Oryctolagus cuniculus: one gene and its partner. The protein of the gene in region 2 purifies or fractionates together with the protein of the main gene of each other region. This does not show direct contact. Links are inferred from orthologs where the notes say so. Each region holds a gene or a part of one and is shown on either strand. Other genes may lie near its edges.

Evidence for each region.
Region 1: the proteins of RET (region 2) and STAT3 purify together in Homo sapiens (affinity purification with western blotting; 3 studies listed by BioGRID and IntAct, with this or other methods). This does not show direct contact. The link is inferred for Oryctolagus cuniculus from reciprocal best matches to the Homo sapiens genes RET and STAT3.

Annotation. Positions count from the first base shown.
Region 1 is NC_091448.1:20,434,397-20,446,349, forward strand, and holds the start of STAT3 (signal transducer and activator of transcription 3), read left to right. Parts: upstream 1-4,367; 5' UTR 4,368-4,412; intron 4,413-5,033; exon of another isoform or gene 5,034-5,168; intron 5,169-6,095; exon of another isoform or gene 6,096-6,266; intron 6,267-6,415; exon of another isoform or gene 6,416-6,473; intron 6,474-6,764; exon of another isoform or gene 6,765-6,881; intron 6,882-7,900; exon of another isoform or gene 7,901-8,107; intron 8,108-8,448; exon of another isoform or gene 8,449-8,497; 5' UTR 8,498-8,715; intron 8,716-11,953. UniProt on the Homo sapiens protein: Signal transducer and transcription activator that mediates cellular responses to interleukins, KITLG/SCF, LEP and other growth factors. Once activated, recruits coactivators, such as NCOA1 or MED1, to the promoter region of the target gene.
Region 2 is NC_091446.1:85,341,681-85,352,908, reverse strand, and holds part of RET (proto-oncogene tyrosine-protein kinase receptor Ret), read left to right. Parts: intron 1-5,195; coding exon 5,196-5,459; intron 5,460-5,800; exon of another isoform or gene 5,801-5,820; intron 5,821-6,670; coding exon 6,671-6,958; intron 6,959-8,567; coding exon 8,568-8,809; intron 8,810-9,737; coding exon 9,738-9,933; intron 9,934-11,228. UniProt on the Homo sapiens protein: Receptor tyrosine-protein kinase involved in numerous cellular mechanisms including cell proliferation, neuronal navigation, cell migration, and cell differentiation in response to glia cell line-derived growth family factors (GDNF, NRTN, ARTN, PSPN and GDF15).

The DNA of each region.
Region 1 (11,953 bases), on a different chromosome or scaffold from region 2:
TGTGACTCCGTGCTAGGAGCCAGAGACTGAAAAGACAAGATCTCAAAAAACAAAACAAAACAAAAATGGAAAGATCTAGTCCCCGATTTTCAAGGGTTGCAGTTAGTGGGAGAGGCGGATGCTCAGCATCGCTCACGGAGGGGATGAGAGGTGAAACGCAGGGCCGCCGCAGCCCACCCTGGGGAGACAGGAACGCTTGCAGGAGGAAGGGGTGCTCACGGGGCCCTCGCAAACGTGGGAGGGATTTCAACAGATGCTGCTGGAGGGCAGAGGCCGCTGTTCACTAGGTGTTTGTGTTACCAGGGCCTCCAAACGTCTTAAACACCGTAGCATTGGTTAAGGCTGAAAACACAGCCAGGCACCCTTCAAAGACAGCCATACGCAATGGGTGCTGGTGAGTCATTAGGTGATTTCATCGTGCAAACATCAGAGTGCACTTTCACGGACTAAGGCGGCTACAATTCCCCGGTTGTAGCGTCTCATGAGACTGCTGTCCAATATGCAGCCCGGGGTTGAGGACACTGGCTAACTTAGAGGGAAAAAGGAAATTATGTTGGAAGGCTGCCAAGATATCCCACGGACTCCAAGGAATCAGCAAGCACAGGCTGAAAGAGCAGGAATCGGGGTGGGGGCGTCTCCAGGGACTGCTGCGGGCAGATTGATGGATCTAAAGTGCTGAGCTTAATGGAACTCAGCTCTGACAGCTTCCAGGCTCTGCGCCTCTCAGTTTCCTTCCTTCCTTCCTTCCTTCCTTCCTTCCTTCCTTCCTTCCTTCCTTCCATCCATCCATCCATCCATCCATCCATCATTTCTTTCTAGATTTATTTGAAAGGCAGAGTGACAGAGAAAAGGAGAGACAAAGAGAAGAGAGATCTTCCATCTACTGGTTCACTTCCCAGATGGCCACAATGGCTGGGGCTGGGCCAGGCCGAAGCCAGGAGCCAGGAGCTTGGTCTGGGTCTCACACCTGCATGCAGGGGTGCAAGCACAGGCCATCCTCCACTGCTTTCCCAGGCACATTAACAGGGAGCTGGACTGGAAGTGCAGTAGCCAAGACTCAAACCAGTGCCCAGGGGGCCGGTGCTATGGCATAGTGGGTAAAGCTGCCACCTGTAATGCTGGCATCCCATATGGGTGCCAGTTCAAGTCCCAGCTGCTCCACTTCCAATCCAGCACCCTGCTAATACACCTGGGAAAGCAGCAGATGGCCCAAGTGCTTGGGCCCCTGCCAACCATGTAGGAAACCCAGAGAATGCTCCTGGCTTGGGCCTGGCCCAGCCCCACCTGTTGCAGCCATCTGGGGAGTGAAGGAGCAGATGGAAGATCTTTCTTGCTCTGTCTCTCTGTAACTCAGCCTTTCCAAGAAATAAAATAAATATTTTTTAAAAAAAGTGCCTATATGGGAGGTTGGCACTGCAGGTAGCTGCTTAAGCTGCTTCACCAGAGTGCTGGCCTCTGTGCCTGTCAATTTCAAATTCCAAATTCCTGGCACACAGAACCTGCTGGAGCCAGTTAACACCAGTGTTCACCGTGGATCCAAGGCAAGGAGGAGAGGTTCTTCAGTTACAGATGTGGCTGAAGGGAACCAGGGCATTGTTGGGAAGGGAGGGCTTGTGAGCTAGCAGGCAGGATGCAGGACAGATGGGGCATGGGGCTGCAAGTCTGATTAAGGAGCAGCTCACAGAGGAGAGTTAAAGGGGCCTCGATTCCAGATGAAGAAGCAGAAGGTGTCACACTACAGAGAAAGTAACTTACCTCTGTCTGCTGAGGCTTAGCATAAAAGAATTATCAGAAGATAGTCATGGAGGCCAGCGTGTGGCCTAGTAATTAAGAGACATGAGGCCTGCATCCCCCACTGGAGTGCCTGGGCTTAGTCCTTGGATCCAGCTTCTGATTCCAGCTTCCCGCTAATGCAGACCCTGGGAGGCAGCAGTGATGGCTTAAGTCGTTGGATCCCTGCTACCCACATGGCAGACCTGCACTGGGTTCCCACCTCTGACTTTGGCCCTGGCCTGGCCCTGGTCCAGTCCTGGCCACTGTGGGCTTTGGGGAGTGAACCAGCAGAAGGGAGCTCTATCTCCACCTCTAAAACATTTTTTTTTTTTAAAGAAAACAAGAAAGGTGTTGTTGAAGTGCTAGGAATAATGAGTTTGCCAAGGGAGGGAGTTGAGAGAGAAGAAGGTAGAATCTAGGATTAAGGCATCCTAGGGCCCACGATGCCAGCATCCCATATAGGCGCCGGTTCAAGACCCGGGTGCTCTGCTTCCATCTAGCTCCCTGCTAAAGGCTTGGCAAAGCAGCAGAAGCTGACCCAAGCATTTGGACCAATGCACCCGTGTGGGAGACCCAGAAGAAGCTCCTGACTCCTGACTTCGGCCTGGCCCAGCTCCAGCTGTTGAGGCCATCTGGAGAACAAAACAGCAAATGGAAGATCTCTCTCTTTCTCCCTGACCCCGGGTCCCTGCCCCCTAACTCTGCCTTTCAAATAAATAAATCTTAAAAAAAAAAAAAAAAAGGAATTAAAGGCACCCTTTGAGTGAAGTTTGAGACCAGCAAACTAGACTGTGGAGGGAGGGGTCACACAGGAGACAGGCGTCCTGCTGGGCACAGGGCACTCTCATCAGCATTACCTAGGAGAATTCCTGACACATATTGGATGTCCCCTGCCCAGAAAAGTCCCTGCCCCCTCCCTCCAGGCTTTGTCTCCGCTGGGTGACCAATACCCCTGCCCTGTGCATGGCTGCTCTATCAAGGATGATTGTCCAAGGGCTGGCATTTTGGTGCAGCAGGTTAAGCTGCTGCCTGCCATGCTGGTCTCCCATATAGGAGTGAAGGTTCCAGTCCCAGCTGCTCCATTTCTCACTCAGCTCCCTGCTAATGTGCCTGTGAAAGCAGCAGAGGATGGCCCAAGTGGTTGGGCCCCTACCACCCATGTGGGAGACCTGGAAGTTCCTGGCTCCTGGCCCAGCTCTAGCTGTTGCAGGCATTTGGGGAGTGAACCAGCAGATGGACGATCAATCTCTCTTCCCTCAATCCTCTGTTTCTCCCCCTCTGTCTCTGTAACTCTGCCTTTTACATAAACAAATAAATAAAAATCCTTAAAAAAAAAAAAAAAGGTAATGACAACCTATGGTGTAGGTACTTTCCTCTTCCTATGTCATAGATGAGGAAACAGATCCAGAGAGGTTCAGGAAGTAGCCTAGGGTCACACCGCCCAGTGGGCAGAGCGGCTGGGAAGTAGACTGAGTCAGGACCTGGCTCTCATCCACCAGGCTGCGCAGTCACCTTGAGGGTATCTTCCAAGCAAGAACATTTGAATACAAAATTACCAAGTCGGAATTATGCTCTCTAGTTAGATCAGGATGCCAAGGCTCAGAGAGGTTAGGGAACTCTCCCAAGGCTGCACAGCTGATCCTGGACCAGAACCTGGATTCAAACTTGGGGTGTCTCACTTCAGTTCCCGGGAGCTTTCACGTGAATGTGACTGCGTCTGTTGCCTGCGGTGATGGCCAAGGGGAGAGAGTGGCTAGGACGCTGCCCAGTATCAGCTTCTACAGCAAAGCTACGGGAAACGAGAGCATGTCCACTCTGGTCAGGAGGAGGCCCCTGGTGGCCTTCACGACCACTGTCCTCTGGTCAGGGGCTGGCAGAAGCCACCTAGGGCGAGCAAGTAGAGATGTGGGGGCAGTGATGAGAAGTGGAGGGGTAACTGAGGAAATACTAGGGTCAAGACAGAAAAGAGGAAGTGTCTTCAGAGACGGAGGGAGGAGAGAATTGATAAAGCTCAGAGGCAGAAGTGGGACACAGAACACTTCCACTTATTCACTACTTACTGAGCAGCTATTATGTGCTCCGCACAAGAGATCACCAAAGAGCCAAGATCCAGTGCAACTAACAGTGTAAGGAGGGAGATAACAAACTCTGTAAACAGATAAATAAAATGAGAGTTGTGATAAGAGTCCAGGAAACTGGACAGAGAGATAGTGATGAACAAGTTGGGACCAACTCTAGGCAGGAGTGGTTAGAGGAAGACTGAGTAAGATGGGAGTGGTGAGGCGGAAGTAGCTGTGCCAAAGCCAGGTGGAGAGAGGGAGCTGGCACATGCCAAGACCAAGGGCTGGGACGTGGCCTGGCTGGAATTCAGTAGGCAGCAGGGAGGGCCTTGCAGGGATGAGATAAAGGAAAACCCCTTCCCCTAAGCTCCCTGGGAAGCCCCGGAGGAACAGAATGGCATGGTGTGAATGCTGCTTAGGCAGTAGGGAATGACACAGCCTTGCCAACAGTGAAGAGGGAGGGCTGTTGATCAGCTGGGGAGAAAGAGAGAGGCTTGCAAGAGGATGCCTGCGGAGCAAGTCCCTGCTCTTCCCGGTGCTGTCAGTGAGAGGAGCCAGGCAGCCCTGTTGCTGAGCCCCGTGAAGGACCCCTTGCCTGTATGTTGTCACCTTTGGTCACCACCATGCCTCACCACCCACCTATCAGCCCAGAGGCCTTCTCTGCCATGCCACGTTTTTGTGTTTTGTTTATTTGAAAGGCAGAGCAACACAAAGACACACACACATAGAGCGATCTTCCGTCTGCTGGTTCACTCCCCAGATGCCAGCAATAGTCGAGGCTGGGTCAGGCCAAGGTCAGGAACCTGGAACTCCATCTGGGTCTCTCATGTGGGTGGCAGAGACCCAAGTGCTTGAGTGACCACCTGCTGCCTCCTCAGGTGCACAGAAGCCATGGAAGCTTCCATGGGAAGCAGAGGCAGGACTTGATCCCAGATGCTACAATACGGGATGTGGGTGTCGCAAGCCACAGCTTAACCTTCAGTGCCCTAAAGCCCACCCCAACCGCGCCTTTTTTTTAATTTTTAATTTGTTTATTTGGAAGGCAGAAATACAGAGAAGGAGGGGGAGAGAGAGAGAGAGAGAGAGATCTTCCATCACCAGTTCATTCCCCAAGTGTCTACAACAGTCAGGTCTGGGCCAGGCTGAAACTGAGAGCCAGGAGCTTCATCCTGGTCTCTCACATGAGTGCAGGGGCCCAAGCACTTGGGCCATCCTCTGCTGCTTTCCCAGGCACATTAGCAGGGAGCGGGATCAGAAGTGGAGCAGCTGGGACTCAAACCTGTGGATGCCGGCACTGCAGGTGGAGGCTTAACCTTCTATGCCACAGCACTGGCCCTGCAGTGTTTAAAAAAAAAAAAAAAAAAAAAAAAAAGGAAAGAAAGGCAGAGTGATGGGGTAGGAACAGAGACCTTCCATCTGCTGGTTACCCCCCAAATGCCTGAAATAGCCAGGACAGGGCCAGCTGAAGCTGGGAGCCAAGTTATTCAACCCAGGTCTCCCAAAGGCTGGCAGGGATCCAGCTGTTTGAGCCATCACCTGCTGCCTCCCAGGGCCTGCATTCGCAGGTTATTAGAATCAGGAGTGCAGCTGAGCGTGGAAGGCGGGCATTCTGATATGGGAGGCACATGTGTTCACTGTGCGGCCAAAGGCCAGCCCCAGGCCTTTTCTTTCTAAGCCTTAGTTTCCACAGTCATAAAATGAGAATTAGAACGCCTATGTCCTTGATCAAATGACAATCTCTGCGTAAAATGCTCAGTACAGTTCCTAGAACATAGTGATTAATAAAGGTTAATTATTTCATTTATAAGGAAGTGGGCTAGTAAATGGATACATTGCAGTTCAAGGTGGGGAAACACCTGCTGACGGCAGCCGAGAGGCAGACTGCCTGGGAGCACCGGGAAAGCCCAGAGGCGGCGATGCTGGAACCGCGCCTTCAAGAATGAGAGAGTTTTCAGCGAGGGAGCGAGGAAATGGAAGAGACATGGTGGGAGGGAAGAAAACCCACAGGGGCTGAAGTGGCGGGTGGTGCTGGCACGCCCTGGGGAAGGTGATCAGGGCAGGGCGGGAGTTCAGGTGGTGTGGGATGAGCCTGGACAAAGGGCTTCAGGTGAGAATACAGGATTTAGGAGTCGAATCGAGAGGACAAGGGGCATCAGCCCAGCTCCTGCCGCATGCCTGGCACTGAGTTAGGAGGTTGGTGCTTTTTTTTGAAGGAACTTGGATTTTTACCCTATGGATCACGGAGAACAGAAGAGATTTTGAGGCAGATGGCGACAGGGCTGAGTATTTATTCATATAACTTTTAGGATGATGCTCCTGGTAGCCAAGGGGAGATCGGGATGGAGTAAGGAGACAGTAGGGAAGCGGCCAGGCTTCGGCTCAAGAGGGAGAAGCTGCAGCGTTCAGCCGGTGGGGATTGGGGTCAGTCGGAGGCTGCAGAGGGTTTTTGTCCCTTTATCAGGCAGGCTCAGAGGTAGATTTCAGGGGAGAACGGTGGCGAGGGCAGTGAGGGGAGTGAACGCTCCTGAGGGGTCAGGGGTCACAGCTTACCAGGATGGAACAAAGCTGTGGCTCTGACCCACCTGGTGCACCTCCGGGTATCGCTGGGATTGGGCCCTCGTTGTCAGCGATGAAGGTGACCTGTTGTGAGAAAGGAGAGGAGAGTGTGTGAGCACCTTCCAAGCAGTAAATCACTGAGCAAATATCAGACCCTCTGCCACCAGGGAGGCCGTGAACTGCAAGGGGCCACACAGCTGGGATGGACTTTAGGGGAGGTGGCCATGGTGAAGATAAAGAGTGATCCATGACCCGTACATGCACTCTGTTTACAAACAGGCAATCCCACACTTCCGGGATCTACAGGACACCCCGAGACAGCTGTCCCAGCACCCCGACACTGACGGTTGCCTTATGGGTTCCCTCACCTCTCACTTGGATTTAAGGGCGCACCAGAAGTCTGAACCTGGAGTCTTGGGGGAACCATGTGAATTGCTGAGTATTTCTGGGGCTGGAATCCGTATTCTCCACCAAACTCTGAGATCCACTCCCCTTCAAAGGTTAAGAGACACTGATTTTTTTTCTCACCAAAAATTAAGAACAGCTATCCTTGGGGAAGACTGAATGAGGCAGGAGGGGGAGATTTTTCATTTAAAAATTTCTGGGAGGGGGGTCTGCCTCTCTTGGAGCCCCCCTCTTGGCTGCTGCATCCGGAGGTTTCTGACTTCAATAAATCTTGTTTTAAAATAAATATTTTGAGGGGCCAGTCCTGAGGCATTGCCGGTAAACCTGCTGCCTTCAGTGCCGGCATCCCGAATGGGAACTGGTTTGAGTCTCAGCTTCTCCACTTCTGATCCAGCTCCTTGCTAATGCTCCTGGGAAAGCAGTGGAAGCTGGCCCCAGGGCTTGGGTCCTTGTATTCAAGTGAGAGACTTGGAAGAAGCTCATGGTTCCTGATTTCAGATCCATCCAGCTCCAGTGGTTGTGGCCATTTGGGGAGTGAACCAGGGGATGGAAGATCTTGCTCTGCTCTCTCTCTGTAACTTTCAAATAAGTCTCTTAAAATTTTTCTGAATTGTTTGAATTTTTAAACCATGAACATGGATTAGTTTCACTGAGAAAAGTGTTATTAGAAGTTACGTGGGTGGTTGAGATAATGGGCCCTTTTTATATTTTATCTTATCTCGTTGTGTTAAACGATTTTTGTTTTTGCTAAAAAAAAAAAAAAAAAAAAAAGAACCCGGATAGAATGGAGCACACACACAACACTCTATTATGCAAAATTCACCCTATTACGAAAGGCAAAGTGTGTACATTTCCTATGAACGACCGGCTTCAGTTCAGTAATACCTGCATAGACAAGGTGGAAAAAAAATAGGGCAGACAACGGGGAGCATTTCGGCACAGAAATGTCAGCAAGGGGTCATCTTCACCTACAGTCCGCACGTGTGTGTACCGGCCCGCGCACTAGCGGCTGAAGGCACAGAACCCAAGACGGGGTTAAATCCACCGCCGTCTCCCACGCAATCTAGTAATTACTCTATTTCCACGTCATGTTTCCGGGTGTGTGTGTCCCAACTCACGCAGAAGCTGGGGTTCAAAGCAGGCAAGGGTCGCCCATGTTCGTCTTGTCGGCCCCAGAAACCCAGTCCAAGAGGAGGGCGCCTGGCAGATCTGGCGATACCCGGGGACCGTCTAACTGGCTGATTCCCACGTGGTAAGAACCTCTCAGTCTCGCCCCCACGTGGTGCCAAGGGCCGGGAAAAGGGAGAGCGGGCAGGAGGGAGCCGTATCAGGGGCATTTAAAGTGTCTTGACGTCACGCACTGCCAGGAACTCAGCTGAGTTTTCAGCAGGACATTCCGTTCATTTTCCCCCCTCCCTCCGGACTTCTGTGCCCAAGGCCGCGTCTCTTCCGTTGGTGCCGCGGAGGGAGGAGCACTAAAGCTCGGAACAGCCAGCACAGGGGCGTCCCCAGCCTCCCCTTGACTCCGCCCTTTCTCCTGGAGACTTACCTCATTGGTCAATGGGTGGGGCTTCGACGGTACAGCCCTCGCACTGCGGCCTCTGGGTGGTCTAGCAAGCTGGCTGTCTCATGAATTATGTATAAAGGCGTGCCTTGGCGAGACTGGGGCTGGGCGGGGATTGGTTGAAGGGGCTGTAATTCAGCGGTTTCCGGAGCTGCGGCGGTGTAGACGGGAGGGGGAGTCTGGGGTTCCGACGTCGCAGCAGAGGGAAGGAGCCCCAACCGGATCTTTGAAGAGCACCCCCACTCGGCGTTGTCTCTCCGCATCGGCTAGCAGAGGCCCGGCGGCCTGAGGGAGCCCGGCCGCCCGCACCCGGCGCTAGCGCAGCCCCGGCCTGTCGGGCCTGAGCCCGAGAAACAGGTGAAGGGGGTGAAGGGTGGGGCCGCCTCCCCCGACGGCCCCTGAGCTGGGCACCTCGGAGGGCGCCGCGGGGCCGGGAGCGCCTGGGGTGTTAGGGGGAGCCGGGGGTGGGCGCTCAGGGGGCTGGGGGCCGGAGGAGACGCGGAGGGTCACCCTCAGGGGACGGCTCCCTGGGATGACAGGAGCGGGCCTCGGCGGGGACGGGGGAGGGGGGGGACGGGCGTTGGAAGTAAGTTTCGTTCTTCGCAGTAAGGGGCGACGCGGAGGAGAGGGAGAATGAGCTCAAGGGGGCGGCCCGCGGCGCGAGGGCGTGCGAGGCTGGGGATGGCCAAGGTGAGGGAGGCCCCCGACTTCCTGAGCCCCGGGCTCGGGACACTGCGGCCCCGGAGCTGCCGTCCGGCGGGGGTGGAAGGAGCCTCTCCCCGCCCCGCCGGCTCCGGGCTGAGCCACTTCCTCCGCCGGGCCCGGTTCGCCTCCTTCGTGGGCTGGCTGTGCCCCCCTGGAGGTCGGAATAGGTGTCTTCCCCCCACAGCCTCGCGTGCTGGCTGGTTGCGGGTAGGGTTATTGCATAAGACTCAAGTTTCCTGTAGGGAAATGGACAGACTGTATTCTTCCTTAATTCCTTCCCATCTTTTTCTAGGTTAGGCGCTTATCGCTGCCCACCTCCCCTGGAAAAAGAAAAAAAAAAAAAAGGCAAAACAAAAACCCCATCAGGGCCAGCTCATTCCTTCTTGACATTGTTCTCTTAGAAACACCTGGTAAACTCAGCTCGAAGATAAATAATTGAGCCATTGCATTTACTGGATTGTGGTGTTGCTTAATTGCATAGGACAGAATGAACCAATCCAGAGTGGGAGTTTTCTGTCTCAGAGCCAAGATCTTGGGTAAATGCAGAAGAGAGGGAAACAAAGAGGCTGGCCTTGGCACAGCCCTGTATGTGGACTTTACCTGGGTTTGGGGGTGTGGTTGCACTTAAGTTGGCCCAATTCAAGTGTCCCTAGTTGTTTTTTCTGTTTGGTACACATCACTGTGTTATATCAAGTGAGGTGTTTGTTGACACAGTGGTTGGTCGTTTTTTTCTTATTAAAAATGTAGATTGTGTATACCTGTTGGTTGTTATTGTGTGTGCATTTAAATTTCTTTATTCTGTTATGGGTTGTAAACTTTAAAAACGTCTTAAAATTTCATTTTATTTGAAACGCAGAGGGAGAGACGGAGAGAGAGATCTTCCAACTGCTGGTTCACTCCCCACAGGCTCACAACAGTCAAGGCAGGGCCAGGCTGTAGCCTGGAGCACAGAACTCAATCCAAGTCTCCCACAGAGGTGGCAGAGACCCAAGTGCCTGAGTCATGCTGCCTCCCACGGTGTGCATTTGCAGGAAGCTGGATGGTAATGGAGGAGTCAGACACTCTCATATTGGAAACAAGTGTCCCAAGTGGCTTTGTCTTAACCCCTGCACCAAACCTCCAACCCTGGGTTGTAGATTTTTGGCTGTGTTGTAAAGCATTGGTTTGAATAAATCAAAGTAGTAAATTGGGGCTAGCGCTGTGGCATAGCGCTGTGGCATAGCCTCCGCCTACAGTGCTGGCATCCCATATGGGCACCAGTTTGAGTCCCAGCTGCTCCACTTCTGATCCAGCTCCCTGCTGATGAGCCTGGGAAAGCAGCAGAAGATGGCCCAAGTGCTTGGGACCCTGTAACCCATGTGGGAGACCTGCAAGAAGTTCCTGGCTCCTGGCTTTGGATCAGCCCAGCTCAGGCTGTTGCAGCCATTTGGGGAGTGAATGAGCGAATGAAAGATCTCTCTCCCTCTTTGTCTTTCTCTGTAACTCTGCCTTTCAAATAAATAAATCTTAAAAAAAAAAAAGTGAATCATCTTAATTTTTTATTTGTATGAGGGTATTTTAAAAAGTACATGGAAAAATGGAATTAAAAGATTATTTTGATGTGGAAAAATTGAAATCTATTCATAATTTCTTCATAATACAGACTTTCCATGAACTTTTGAAGATCCCAAGTGTGTTATGACTTGCATGGTCCAGTCAGTTTTCTCTTTTTACTCATTTTATGTTGAATATGTCTGTGTTCCCTGAGTCAACACATTTATTTCCTTATTACATGTACCAGACTACTGGAAATTTTGCTCAGCCATTTGTACAGTGGGATGGGGGAAAGAAATCTGGGATAAAAAAAGTAGTCGTAGATGTTGGAGCGCTGTTAGCACACCCACCGCAAAGAACCATTAACAAATTCATAAATCTTTGTTTTTTGTATGTAATTCATCTGGGGAGGATAACCAGACTCAACTTGACCCAAAAGGGTTTGTGAGATAGGTGGCTCACATAACCTAACCCCATTTTGTAGATAAGGAAATTGAAGCCAAAGATACTCAAGGCAGTCGAACACCAGAATGGTGGAACTTGTGTCTTCTGTATGTGTTGTGTTGTTTTGATGACCAGTGCTTAAGCTTGATTCTGAGTGTGTAGGCCCTGAAAGATGTCAGTGAGAGTCTAGCATACTGGGCAGTGAATTCCCAGTCCCGCCGGTCAGTGGGAAGACTTCAGGGGAGGGAAGTGTGCTCCATAAATGGGGGGAAAGAAACACATGTCGGGCTGGCGAAGCTTGCTCTCCTGTCTGCCAAGTCTGACTTAAGGAGTAATTAACTGTAGAAAGCATAACTTACCATGAGAGTTGAGCGATTATTAATGGGGTTGTTCAGGAAAGTTTTAGGTGAGGGGTGTCATGACCTAAATGTAAACCAGGGTGCCTTGTGGCCTGGTCAGTGGTCATTTGAGTTTCCAGGAAGTTGTCTTCTTCTTCTGCTTCTGTGTTCCTTGACATTCAGAAGTTAGATAAGGTCGAGGTGTTGATCATCATTCCAGATACCTGAGTGCAACATCTTTTTAGCTTTTTTTTTTTTTTTAAAGTTTGACTTATTCGAAAGTCAGAGTTACACAGAGAGAGGAGGGGCAGAGAGAGAGAGGAGTCTTCCATCCTATGGTTCACTACCCAATTGTCCGCAACGGCCGGAGCTGTGCCCATCTGAAGCCAGGAGCCAGGAGCTTCTTCCAGGTCTCCCACGCGGGTGCAGGGGCCTAAGGACTTGAGCCATCCTCCGCTGCTTTCCCAGGCCATAGCAGAGAGCTGGATCAGAAGTGGAGCAGCTGGGGCTCGAACTGGTGCCCATATGGGATGCCGGCGCTTCAGGCCAGGGCGTTAACCCACTGCACCACAGCA
Region 2 (11,228 bases):
TTCCGTTCTTGCCATTTTCCTCCTTTTCTTGAACGCCCCGGGTTCCCCCTTTCCTGCCTCTACCCTGGGGAGAGTTTCAGCTATCAGGTCTGTGTGTGTTGCTGTAGTGGGGTCACCAGGAGCCGTGGTGAGCGTGTCCCAGGGGCCAGCTAGCAGCAGAGGGGCTGTGAGGGACCAAGAGCCTACACCGGAGGGGTTGGGAGTGGCACCCCCCCCACAGGACTGGTGACAAGGTGCAGGGGGCCTCAGGTGGGCTGCGTGGGGCTCCTGACCAGAGGCCAGGACCCTGGGGAGGGCTGGGCGTGGGAGCCCCTTGCCTTGGGATCCAGCAGGCTCCGGGGGCCACAGATGGAGGCTGGGGGTGGCAGCCTCGGTTCATCTGCACTGAGTGTGTCAGACTTGTGTAATCACAGGCAGGTGTGCAACAATGAGAGTGAGTGTAAGTTTGCAACAGTGTGAAAGAACACAGCCAATTCCTTGGTATCCATGGGAGATTGGTTCTAAGACCCCTGCACATAGCCTAGTCCATGGAGACCGGAGATAAATGGCATAGTCATTGCGTGGAACCTACACACATTCTCCCCTGGACTGTGTGTGTGTGTGTGTGTGTGTTAAATGATTGTTTCTTTCTTTCTTTCTTTTTTTTTTTTTTTTTTTTGACAGAGTGGACAGTGAGAGAGAGAGAGAGAAAGGTCTTCCTTTGTTGGTTCACCCCCCAAATGGCTGCTACGGCCGGCGCACTGTGCCAATCCAAAGCCAGGAGCCAGGTGCTTCCTCCTGGTCTCCCATGGCGGGTGCAGGGCCCAAGGACCTGGGCCATCCTCCACTGCACTCCCGGGCCACAGCAGAGAGCTGGCCTGGAAGAGAGGCAACTGGGACAGAATCCGGTGCCCCGACCAGGACTAGAACCTGGGGTGCTGGCGTCGCAGGCAGAGGATTAGGCTAGTGAGCCACGGCGCCGGCCTTGCTTTGTTTTTTAAAGTTTTCTTTAAGATTCAGAACCTGAAACACTGGTTCACTTTCCCTGACAGCCCCAGGACAGAGCCAAAGGTGGGAGCCAAGACCCCAACCCAGGCCTCCAGCTTAAGAGGCAAGAACCCAGGGCAGGCGCTGTGGTTAAGCCTCCGCTTGCGGTGTCGGCATCCCAAAAAGGCACTGATTCGAGACCCGGCTGCCTCACTTCCAATCCAGCTCTCTGCTGTGGCCTGGGAAAGCAGTAGAAGATGGCCCAGGTCCTTGGGCCCCTGCTCCCACATGGGAGACCCAGAAGAAGCTCCTGGCTCCTGGCCTTGGATCAGCTCATTTCCAGCTGTTGTGGCCGTCTGGGGAGTGAACCAGTGGATGGAAGACCTTTCTCTCTGTCTCTTGCTCTCTGTCTTTCTGTAACTCTGCTTCTCAAATAAATTTATAGATCTTGAAAGAGGGAGAGAGAGAAGGGTGGGGAGGCAAGGACCCAGCTACTTGAACCATCACCACTACCTCGCAGGGTCAGCATTAGCAGGAAACGGGAGTCAGGAGCGGGCCCGGCATGGAACAGCTCCACATCCTAGCGTCTCAGCCCCTGGGCCAAATGCCCGCCCCTCCTTCACACCTTAAATCAGGTCTGGAGTACTTACAATCCCTAATAACAGTGTGGACGCCGTGTAACTCCCGGGTAGACGGTATCATTGAGTGGATGCCGACAAGGTCAAAGTCGGCATGCCTTCAGAACATCTGCATTGCTTCCCCTGAGTCTTTTCTATCCGTGGCTGGTTGAATCCAAGGCTGTGGAACCTGGGGCATCGGGGGCTGCCTGTACTTGAACGTGCTTGCTGGAGCAAGACTGGGACTGCACTGTGTGAGAGCAGATGTGTGCGTGCTTGCGCGTGGCTCCTGTGGGCTGCAGGAATGCATCTCTGAACTTGGATATGGGCCGTGCAGGGGCCAAAAAACTGTGTGCTTTGGGCACACACCAGGGGCAGAGTTTGCTGCAGCTCCCCATGCCCTGGGCCCGCAGGCTGCCCCGGAAGCACAAGCAAGCCCGTGTCCAGTCTCACCTCCCCTCCCCTCCCCCCCCCCGCCAGCGTCCTACACCCACGGAGCTCAGCATCATGCTGCTTGCACACAGCGGCACCCACCCGGAGCCCAGCAACAGCCTTGGGAATGTGCACATGTGGACAGTGTGCGTGACGAGGCATGTCTGCGTGTGGGAGGAGGGCTCATGGCTGCTTCCCGTCTGCAGCCAAATAGGATCCTACACATGCCACGTCCCGGCCAAATTGCAAAAGGTGTTTCCTGGCTGAAAACACAGAAGTTAGAAGTAAACCCCCAGCCCCGTGCACCAGATGAGACCCTGAATTCTGAGTGGCCAGGGCCGTGGTGGGGTTACAGAGGAAGCCCTACCCCAAGAAGGAGCCAGGGCTAAGTCTGCGTGGCCGGGGTCTGGTCGTGTGGGAACAGGTGGAGTCAGGTCGGGTAGGTGGGAACAGGCAGGCAGCTCCGTGTCTGTCCCCTGCATGCACACATGTGTACTTGCTCATGAACACACAGGCACGCATGCGTGACATACACAGTCCCTCCCAAAATGAGCGGTGGCAGCGGGGGTCTCCCACAGGTGTGCTGTGAGCAGAGTGGGCCAGCCTGGCCACGGGGTGCTGCAGGGCGGGCTCAGCCCTGACGGGACCTGTGGAGGACGGTGTGGTGTTGTCGTCATGTGGCATTTGGGAGGCGATTGAGGTTTCTGCCGCTGGCCAGAGACAGATCTCTGCCCTCAGGTAGGCTCTGCGAGGGGCAGTCACCCCCATGGGCTCAGCGCCCGCCCTGTGCCTCACCCCCACCGTCACTTTGCTGCCATCCCAGGATATGCCCAGCTGTCTGGCTTGGATCAGTCTTCCAACTCCTGGCCTTAGTGTTCTTGTCTGTGAAATGGGCCCATGAAGGGACCTGTGGCCAGAGGCGTGAGCCCATAGTGAAATTTGTAACAACACACACCTGTAGAGAGGCGTCGGCTTGTCCACACCTGCCCTGGTGGTTCCTCCTCACCTCGGCAGGTCCTCCTGTGGCTCATGGTGGCGGAAACAGACACAGAGAGGGCGAGGTCTCTGCAGAGCCCGCCTCCCTGTCGGCTTTTCTCCGCCTCTGCCGTTCCTTGGTCTGGAATTAGGTGTGCCTCAAGAGGACGGTGGTGACAGAAGTGAAACGCAGGAGATCCCTCTGTGTGCTCCCCCGGGGCTGGCCCTGCACCCGCCTCCTGGGTGCCCCCTCGAACCGTGTGTTCTGCCATTGGGAAGTGCCTGTGGCCAGAGGGACCACCTAGGAGGCATTTTGAGTGCATTTACATCTGTTCCTGTTCCTGATCATCACCCGACACACAGATCCCTTTTGGCAGCAGTGAGGGGCCCCACACGGTCCTCCAGGACCCAGCTCTTCGAGGAGAGCATGGACAGAGCCGTTCTCTGCGGCACATGTGGTCTTTCAGGAGGGGAGGGGGGAGCGCAGCTTGGGCTGCCCCCAGAGGAGGCGGCTGCAAGGTGTGGCTGGGCTGCGCACGGCGCCTCCCCGAGCCTGCACACAACCTCTCTCCTGCAAACCCCCAGCTTCCCCAAAAGCCTTTGCACAAGGCCCCCCCAGCCCCACCCCCGGGACAGCTGCTGCTTATTGGGAAGCCCAGGGCTATGGTGTGTCCCCCCCCCCCAGAGGGTGAGAGCTGCTGCCTGCTGTGTCCGCGTTTCTCACGTGTGCTGTTTGTGTGCGTGCTAGGATTTAGTTGCAGGTTTTACTAGGTGTTAAGCACTCTTAACCTGTTTATCCATCTCTCTTAAAATTCGTAGCTATCTTTCATAAAGGAAAAGTCACTTGGTATAAAATTGATCACCTTAACTGCTTAGGCGTATGGTTCAGGGGCTTTAAATTCACCCGCAGCCCTGTACTGCCATCACCACCATCCCCAAAATGAAACCATGCACTCCGTCAGTCTGCCCCTGGCGGCCAGTGTCCTCCTGTCTCTGGGACGCTCCCGTCAATGCAGTGGCTCCGTGTGTGTCTGATCTCACTCTCCCAAGCATAACCTTCTCAAGGTCCATGGGTTGTAGCCTGTCAACAATTCCTTGGTTTGCTATTATATTGTATGTGTAACCACCTTTTGCTCGTCGCTGCCCCCTAGTGGCTGTTGTGTGTATAACAGCTCCTCTGTGAACACAGGCATACATAGGTCTCTCTTGCCGGTGTAGACCAGCCCTAGGATTATGGGCTCACAGGGTAATTTTGTTTTTTAACTTTTGAGGAAACACAGTACTGTCTTCCACCCCAGCTGTGCCATTCTACACTCCCATCCACAGAGCACATAGGCACCAAAACAATTCCAGCTATTGAAAACATTTTTTATTATAAAAACAGTGTGGGACATACATGGGTCTGCCAGATCCAGCCATAGCGGAGGCTGGCATCCTGCCTTCTTCACCGTACTTAGCTACGCCTCTGCCCATAGCCATCTTGGGGAACAGTGTTTCATTACCCTGGATCAAGCTTGCCAGGGTTACAATGCGGGCATCTCAGCGGGCCCCTGCTGACAAGCAGATGTGTCCCGGGAGCCGCTCCTTCTCCCCTGAATGCGCCAACCCTGTCTGATCCATCAGGATGTGGGGCCTGTGCGTTTTCCCGCCCTTGGCGTGTGTCTCCGAGGCCCCTGTAGGCGGGGGATGTCCACAGCCTCTCCCTGTTGATGGCTGTGTAGGGTCCCAAGGACAGATGCCCCTCCACCAAGTGTGTCCATCCGTCCTGCCATGAAGGGCATTGAGGGTCTTCCAGCTCTCACCCTGCACTCTTATTTAGAAGCTCACCCAGTGGCCGTGCGGTTTCAGCCGGCTGGGGTGGGCAGAGTGGGGTTGCCGGGTTGTATGGGGCGTGCTCACACACAGACAGACGCTGGCGTTCTCGGAACGTGGCTTCTCGGCTGTCGGTGATGGTGGCTTGTCTGGCAAGGTCACGTGCCCTTGTCTGGCGATCCTCGTCAGGAAACTGTCCGTGCCGCCTCTCCCTTCTCTTGTTCTTTTTCTGCCTTGGAGCAGGTGCGTGGGCAGCCAGTGGTCAGCTGCGTTCTCAGGGCTGGAGGTGGGAGTCCTCCTGAGGGCAGAAGCGTCCACTGATGGTGTTGCCTGTTTGCCTGGGAAGCAGCCGCCATCCCCGCGCTGCCTCAGCATCGATCCCTGTTTCTGCAGCCCCCCTGGGCCTCTACTTCTCACGGGATGCCTACTGGGAGAAGCTGTACGTGGACCAGCCGGCCGGCACGCCCCTGCTGTACGTGCACGCGCTGCGGGACGCCCCAGGGGAGGTGGCCAGCTTCCGCCTGGGCCAGCACCTCTACGGAGCCTACCGCACCCGGCTGCACGAAAACGAGTGGATCCGCATTCACGAGGACACCGGCCTTCTGTACCTCAACCGCAGCCTGGACCAGAGCACCTGGGAGAAGCTCAGCCTGCGCAGTAAGGAGCAGCACACAGAGACTCACACACACGCACACACACATTCATACATACACCACACCACACACACGCGCACACACATCACACACCACACACACACCTGGGAGAAGCTCAGCCTTCGCAGTAAGGAGCAGCACACAGAGACTCACACACACACACACACATTCATACATACACCACACACCACACACACGCACACACACACATCACACACCACACACACACCTGGGAGAAGCTCAGCCTGCGCAGTAAGGAGCAGCACACAGAAACTCACACACACACACACATTCATACATACACCACACACTACACACACACACCACACACCACACACACACCTGGGAGAAGCTCAGCCTGCGCAGTAAGGAGCAGCACACAGAGACTCACACACACACACAAATACACACACACATTCATACACACACCACACACACACACACATCACACACCACGCACCACACACACCTGGGAGAAGCTCAGCCTTCGCAGTAAGGCAGCAGCACACAGAGACTCTCACACACACACACACACACCACGCACCATGCACCATGTACCACACACATACACACACCACACACATACATACCACATACCATGCACCAGACACATAAATCACATACATACACACACAATCACACCATGCACCGCACACATGCACACATACCACGTACCAGACACATGCACACACATACATACAACACACACCATGTACCACACACATGCACACATACACCTACCCAGCACCACACATACACACTCACACACATTCCCACACCACACAAACACAGATGCACATACGACACACACCCCCAGCACCATATGCACACACATATGCACACCACACACACCTTCACACACGACACACACCCCCAAGGTGCCAGGTGTGGCCATGCCAAGACTCCCTCAGGGAGGCTGTGGCAGGGGTGGGGGCTGCTACTGATTGCCACCTACTGGGCAGTCGGCCACCTGCAGCAGGTGAGGCACGCTGGACCCAGTGCCCAGGGCACTTCCTTGAGGGAGCATCTGAGCTAAGACCTGAGTGCCAGGGGAGGCGGGCATGTGGGGCCCTGAGGCATGGAAGGGAGGTGGCCGCCAGGGCCAGAGAGCCCACAGAGCCCTGGGACCCACCCCACCGTGAACCCTGCAGCTCCTGCCCCTCTCCACCCCCTCCATGCGCCTCCCCGGCAACTGACTCCTCCTCTCTCCTGCAGATGGCGGCTTCCCCCTGCTCACCATCTTCCTCCAGGTCTTCCTGTCCCCCGTGTCCCTGCGCGAGGCCGAGTGCCAGTGGCCCGGCTGTGCACGCGTCTACTTCTCCTGCATCAACTCCTCCTTCCCCGCCTGCAGCTCGCTCTCGCCCCGCGAGCTCTGCTTCCCGGAGACCGACCTCTCCTTCCGCATCCGGGAGAACAAGCCGCCCGGCACCTTCCACCAGTTCCGGCTGCTGCCCGTGCAGTTCCTGTGCCCCAACGTCAGCGTGACCTACGGGCTCCTGGAAGGTGAGTGCTGCCGTGCAGGAGGATCTGAGCCAGGTGCTGCTCTAGAAGCCAGGAGGGCAGCGTCCTGCCTGCCTGGGGCTCTCAATCCCCCCGGGGATGGAGCCCATACTGGGGCCATGGAGACACAGTGGCTTCGGGAGGCCACGCCGTGGTGGAGAGTGTGTCTTGAGTTGGGTGGTAAGAGCAGAGGTACAGAGCAAAGGTGAATGGGCACCAGATGTGCAGCTGTGGCCCCTGAAGGTTGCCAACGTGGCCCCCTATGGCTGGAGGACAGTGAGCTACTGGAGAGAGCAGAGGGTGATGGGAGAAGAGCCCTTCGGGACATGGGGAGCCATGGAAGGCTGTAGGGGGAGGCTGTTTCAGGTCCTGATTTTTTAGCATCTGTTCAAGATTTATTTATTTGAAAGGCAGAATGACAGAGAGAAGGAGAGAGACAAAGAAATCTATCGGCTGGTTCACTCCTCAAATGACCGCAGCGGCTGCGGTTGGGCCAGGCTGAAGCCAGGAGCCTGGAACGCCATCCAGGTCTCCGCATGGGTGGCAGCAGTCCAAGCACTGACTCATCTTGCGCTGCATCCCCAGGTGCATTGGCAGGGAGCTGGATCAGAAGCGGAGCAGCCGGGACTTGGCCTGGCGCTGTGATATGGGATGCAGGAGCAGCTTAACCCACTGAGCCTGACTTACCTTTGAAAGGATCATCAGACCACTGGCTTCGGTGTGGTTTGGGGTGGGGAGGTTTAGGGCAGCCCAGCAGGTCTGAAGCACGCACTGGGCTGTTTTAATGTCCCAGTCTGAACTCTGGGTGGATTACCCACCCCTCCCACTCCTCAGCCTGCTTTTATTTTCCCTGGGGTGTGTGTCCTTGACCCCAGTGCTTGGCAAAACAGGTGCTTTGTTTTTGTTTTTGTTTTGTTTTTTGTTTTGTTTGTGTGTGTGTGTGTGTGTGTGTGCCAAATGGTATGCAGGTTTTGTTTAGCGAGGTTTTGGCCATTGAAGGGGGTAGAGGGAGAGATGGCAGGGGGAGCATCTCCCGGCTGGTGCCTGGATATGTGGCCTTCCTCATTCCCCTGCGGCCAGCCAGCTGGGGGGTGTCTGGGGCATCATCCTCACCCAGCCAGCCTCCTGTCTTCCTGGGTCATTGCTGGAGGGTGCATTGTGGTTCACAGGGGTCTCCCTCTGCTGGCTGGGGTCTGTGAGTGGCTGCAGAGTGGGCAGCTGAGCCAGGAGCTCTGCAGGTCAGCTGGGGAGGACACAGAAGCTGCCCCCACAGTCCCACGTGTTCCCCTGTGTTGTGGGTTTGTTTCTTGCCTTCCCTAAAATGAGCACGTTACCTCTAGATTTTTTTTTTAAGTTCCTCATTTTTAAAACCTTGCCAGTGTGCAGAGCTAGTCCCCCCCCCGGGGGCGGGGGCTGTAGCTGAAGCAAAGCCACCTGACCCCACACATGCCCACTCCAGACGGAGGACCCCCTCCACTGGCCTCTTGGTCCCCGCCCACACAAAACCGAAAACCCTGGGAGCCCCGGGCTTCTCTAGGGGAGGAGGCCAGCACGCGCCTGCGCCCCCTTCCCGCCTCCCTCGTCCCCCAGCCCCTGTCTGCTTACTGTACAGGTAAGGACGGGCCCTTCCGCTGTGCCCCGGACAGCCTAGAGGTGAGCACGCTCTGGGCCCTGGACCGCGAGCAACGGGAGAAGTACGAGCTGGTGGCCAAGTGCACGGTGCGCGTGGGCGCGCGCGAGGAGGCCGTGATGGTGCCCTTCCCCGTGACCGTCTACGATGAGGACGACTCGCCGCCCACCTTCCCGGGGGGCGTGGACACCGCCGACGCCGTGGTGGAGTTCAAGCGCAAGGAGGTGATTGTCCCCAGTGTGGGAAACTGCTTCCCGCTGTCTGTTTGCCTCAGTCTGTGGCTGATTCCTTGGTCTGTTCGTCCCGTTCGTTCACCCCTCTGTCTGTCTGCCCGGGCACTCCAGGAGGAGTTCTGCTAGCTCTAGTTGGAGAGGCCAGGAGCCCTGGGTGCCTAGCCTGAGTCTAAGCAGACACACGGGGCTCAAGGGCAAGCATCTGCAGCACACCGTGTGGGACGCTCATTCTGTTCCACCACCAGCCAGTGCCGTAGCGGGGTGGGGGGTGGGGGGAAGCACTGAACCCTGGGACGGCAGAGCGGAAGGAAGGGGCATCTCACAGGGCCTGCTGCTCTGCTCCAATCATCCAGCCCCTCCGGTCTCTGGGCCGCGCAGGTGGAGCGCTACCGCCACCTGCTGGCTCTCCGGCCATCCTGCAGCAAAAAAGGCCGTGGGAGCCCATGGGGGGTGGGGGGACAGCAGAGGACATGGTGAATGGAGACAGCTCCCCCACCAGCCTGCTCTGCCAATGACACTTGGAGGGGAGCGCTCTGCTCCACACCTGGGCTTGGACCTGGCTCTGCCATTGCTTGTGACCTTGAACTGCCCTTCACCCTGTGAGGCCCAACTCCCTTGGGGAGAGTGGAGGTGCCCGTCTCCACTGTGGGGACCTGGATGAACCCTGTCTGCTCTGATTGCTCCTGGCGGGGAAGTCTGTAGGTGCGTGTCACACCTGTTGCACAGGTGAGGAACTGGACCGCGCTGACAAGTGGCCCCATGGGGACCAGAGCCCAGGTCAGTCTGTGTCCAGAGCCAGCTCTGACCGAGCGCTCTGGTGTGGCTGTCTGGGGGCTGGGCCCCCTCCCACGGGCACTGTCTTTGGGGCACTGGAAGGTCCCACTCAGCAGTCTTGACTGTGGCCATGTGCATCACCCAGGGCACCGTGGTGGCCACGCTGCGTGTCTTTGATGCGGACGTGGTGCCAGCGTCGGGAGAGCTGGTGAGGCGGTACACGAGCACCCTGCTCCCCGGGGACCCCTGGGCCCAGCAGACCTTCCGCGTGGAGCACGCCCCCAACGAGACCTTGGCTCTGGCCAACGACACCTTCGTGCGAGCGACGGTGCATGACTACAGTAAGTGGGGCTGGTGGGGCAGCACCCCTCCCATGCCTGCTGGCATGCCTCTCTGCAGCCGGGCCCCCCCCCACGACCACCCAAGTCTCCCTGCGCCCCGGCCTTGCCTTTGGCCATCTTGGGGAGGTTTTTGCAGCCTGATCTCTTCCTGAACAGCCCCCAGCAGACCCTGGCAGGGCCTCCGCATGCCTCCCATGCTCACCGGCCGGGCTCATGACCCCATGGCTCTGAGGCCTTCGTTGAGCCCCTGGCTCCTGCTGTGGTGCCTGTGGACTGTTGTCCTGCCCCCAGAAGCTCTGTACCACGGCAGCCCCAAACTCAAAGTCTAGGGGGTTCTGAGACAGGTGTTCTGCTGGGCACCCTGTGCAAGGGTGCTTATGCAGGCTCAGTGAGACATCCCATTAGCTACCTTGTGTTCCTGCCTCCCACCCTCCATTCCTGCCCTGAGTCCTGGGACCATTTCCAAATAGTCACCTGTACTTGGGCTTCATGTGTTGGGGGTGCTGGATGAGGGGCACCGTCGCACCTTACTGCCTGGCCTCCTGCCATGTGCTCCTTGGCCCCCCCAGCCCACTGAGCCTTCCAAGGCCCCCACCCGTCCCAAGGGAGATGACCCCTTGATGAGCACAGCTCGCTCCCCATTGTCCTGTGTCTGCTAAACTCTACCCACAGCTGTGGCTCACAGCAGGTGCACAGAATGCACGGGACCCTGGGGTCCACTGGAGCTGCTGTTCTCTGTGCGACTGTGGGGAGGGCTCTGGCCGGTTCCTCCCAGGGCCTCAGTGGTGACAAAGCTTTTGCTGCCCTGTGCCCACATCCCACACACACAGCCTGTCCACAAACACCCCATAGACACACACAGCCTTTCCACAAACACCCCATAGACACACACAGCCTGTCCACAAACACTCCATAGACACACACACCCTGCCCACAAACACCCCATAGACACACATAGCTTGTCCACAAACACCCATATATACACACAGCCTGTCCACAAACACCCATAGATACACACAGCCTGTCCACAAACACCCATAGATACAGCCTGCCCACAAACACCCCGTAGATACACACAGCCTGTCCATAAACACTCCATAGACACACACACCCTGCCCACAAACACCCCATAGACACACACAGCCTGCCCACAAACACCCATAGACACACATAGCCTGCCTACAAACACCCCATAGACACACATCCCACATGCCCAGCCTTTGCACAAATACCCCACAGATACACACATCGCACTCACATACCCTGCCAGCCTATGCATCTTGGAGGAGGTTGCC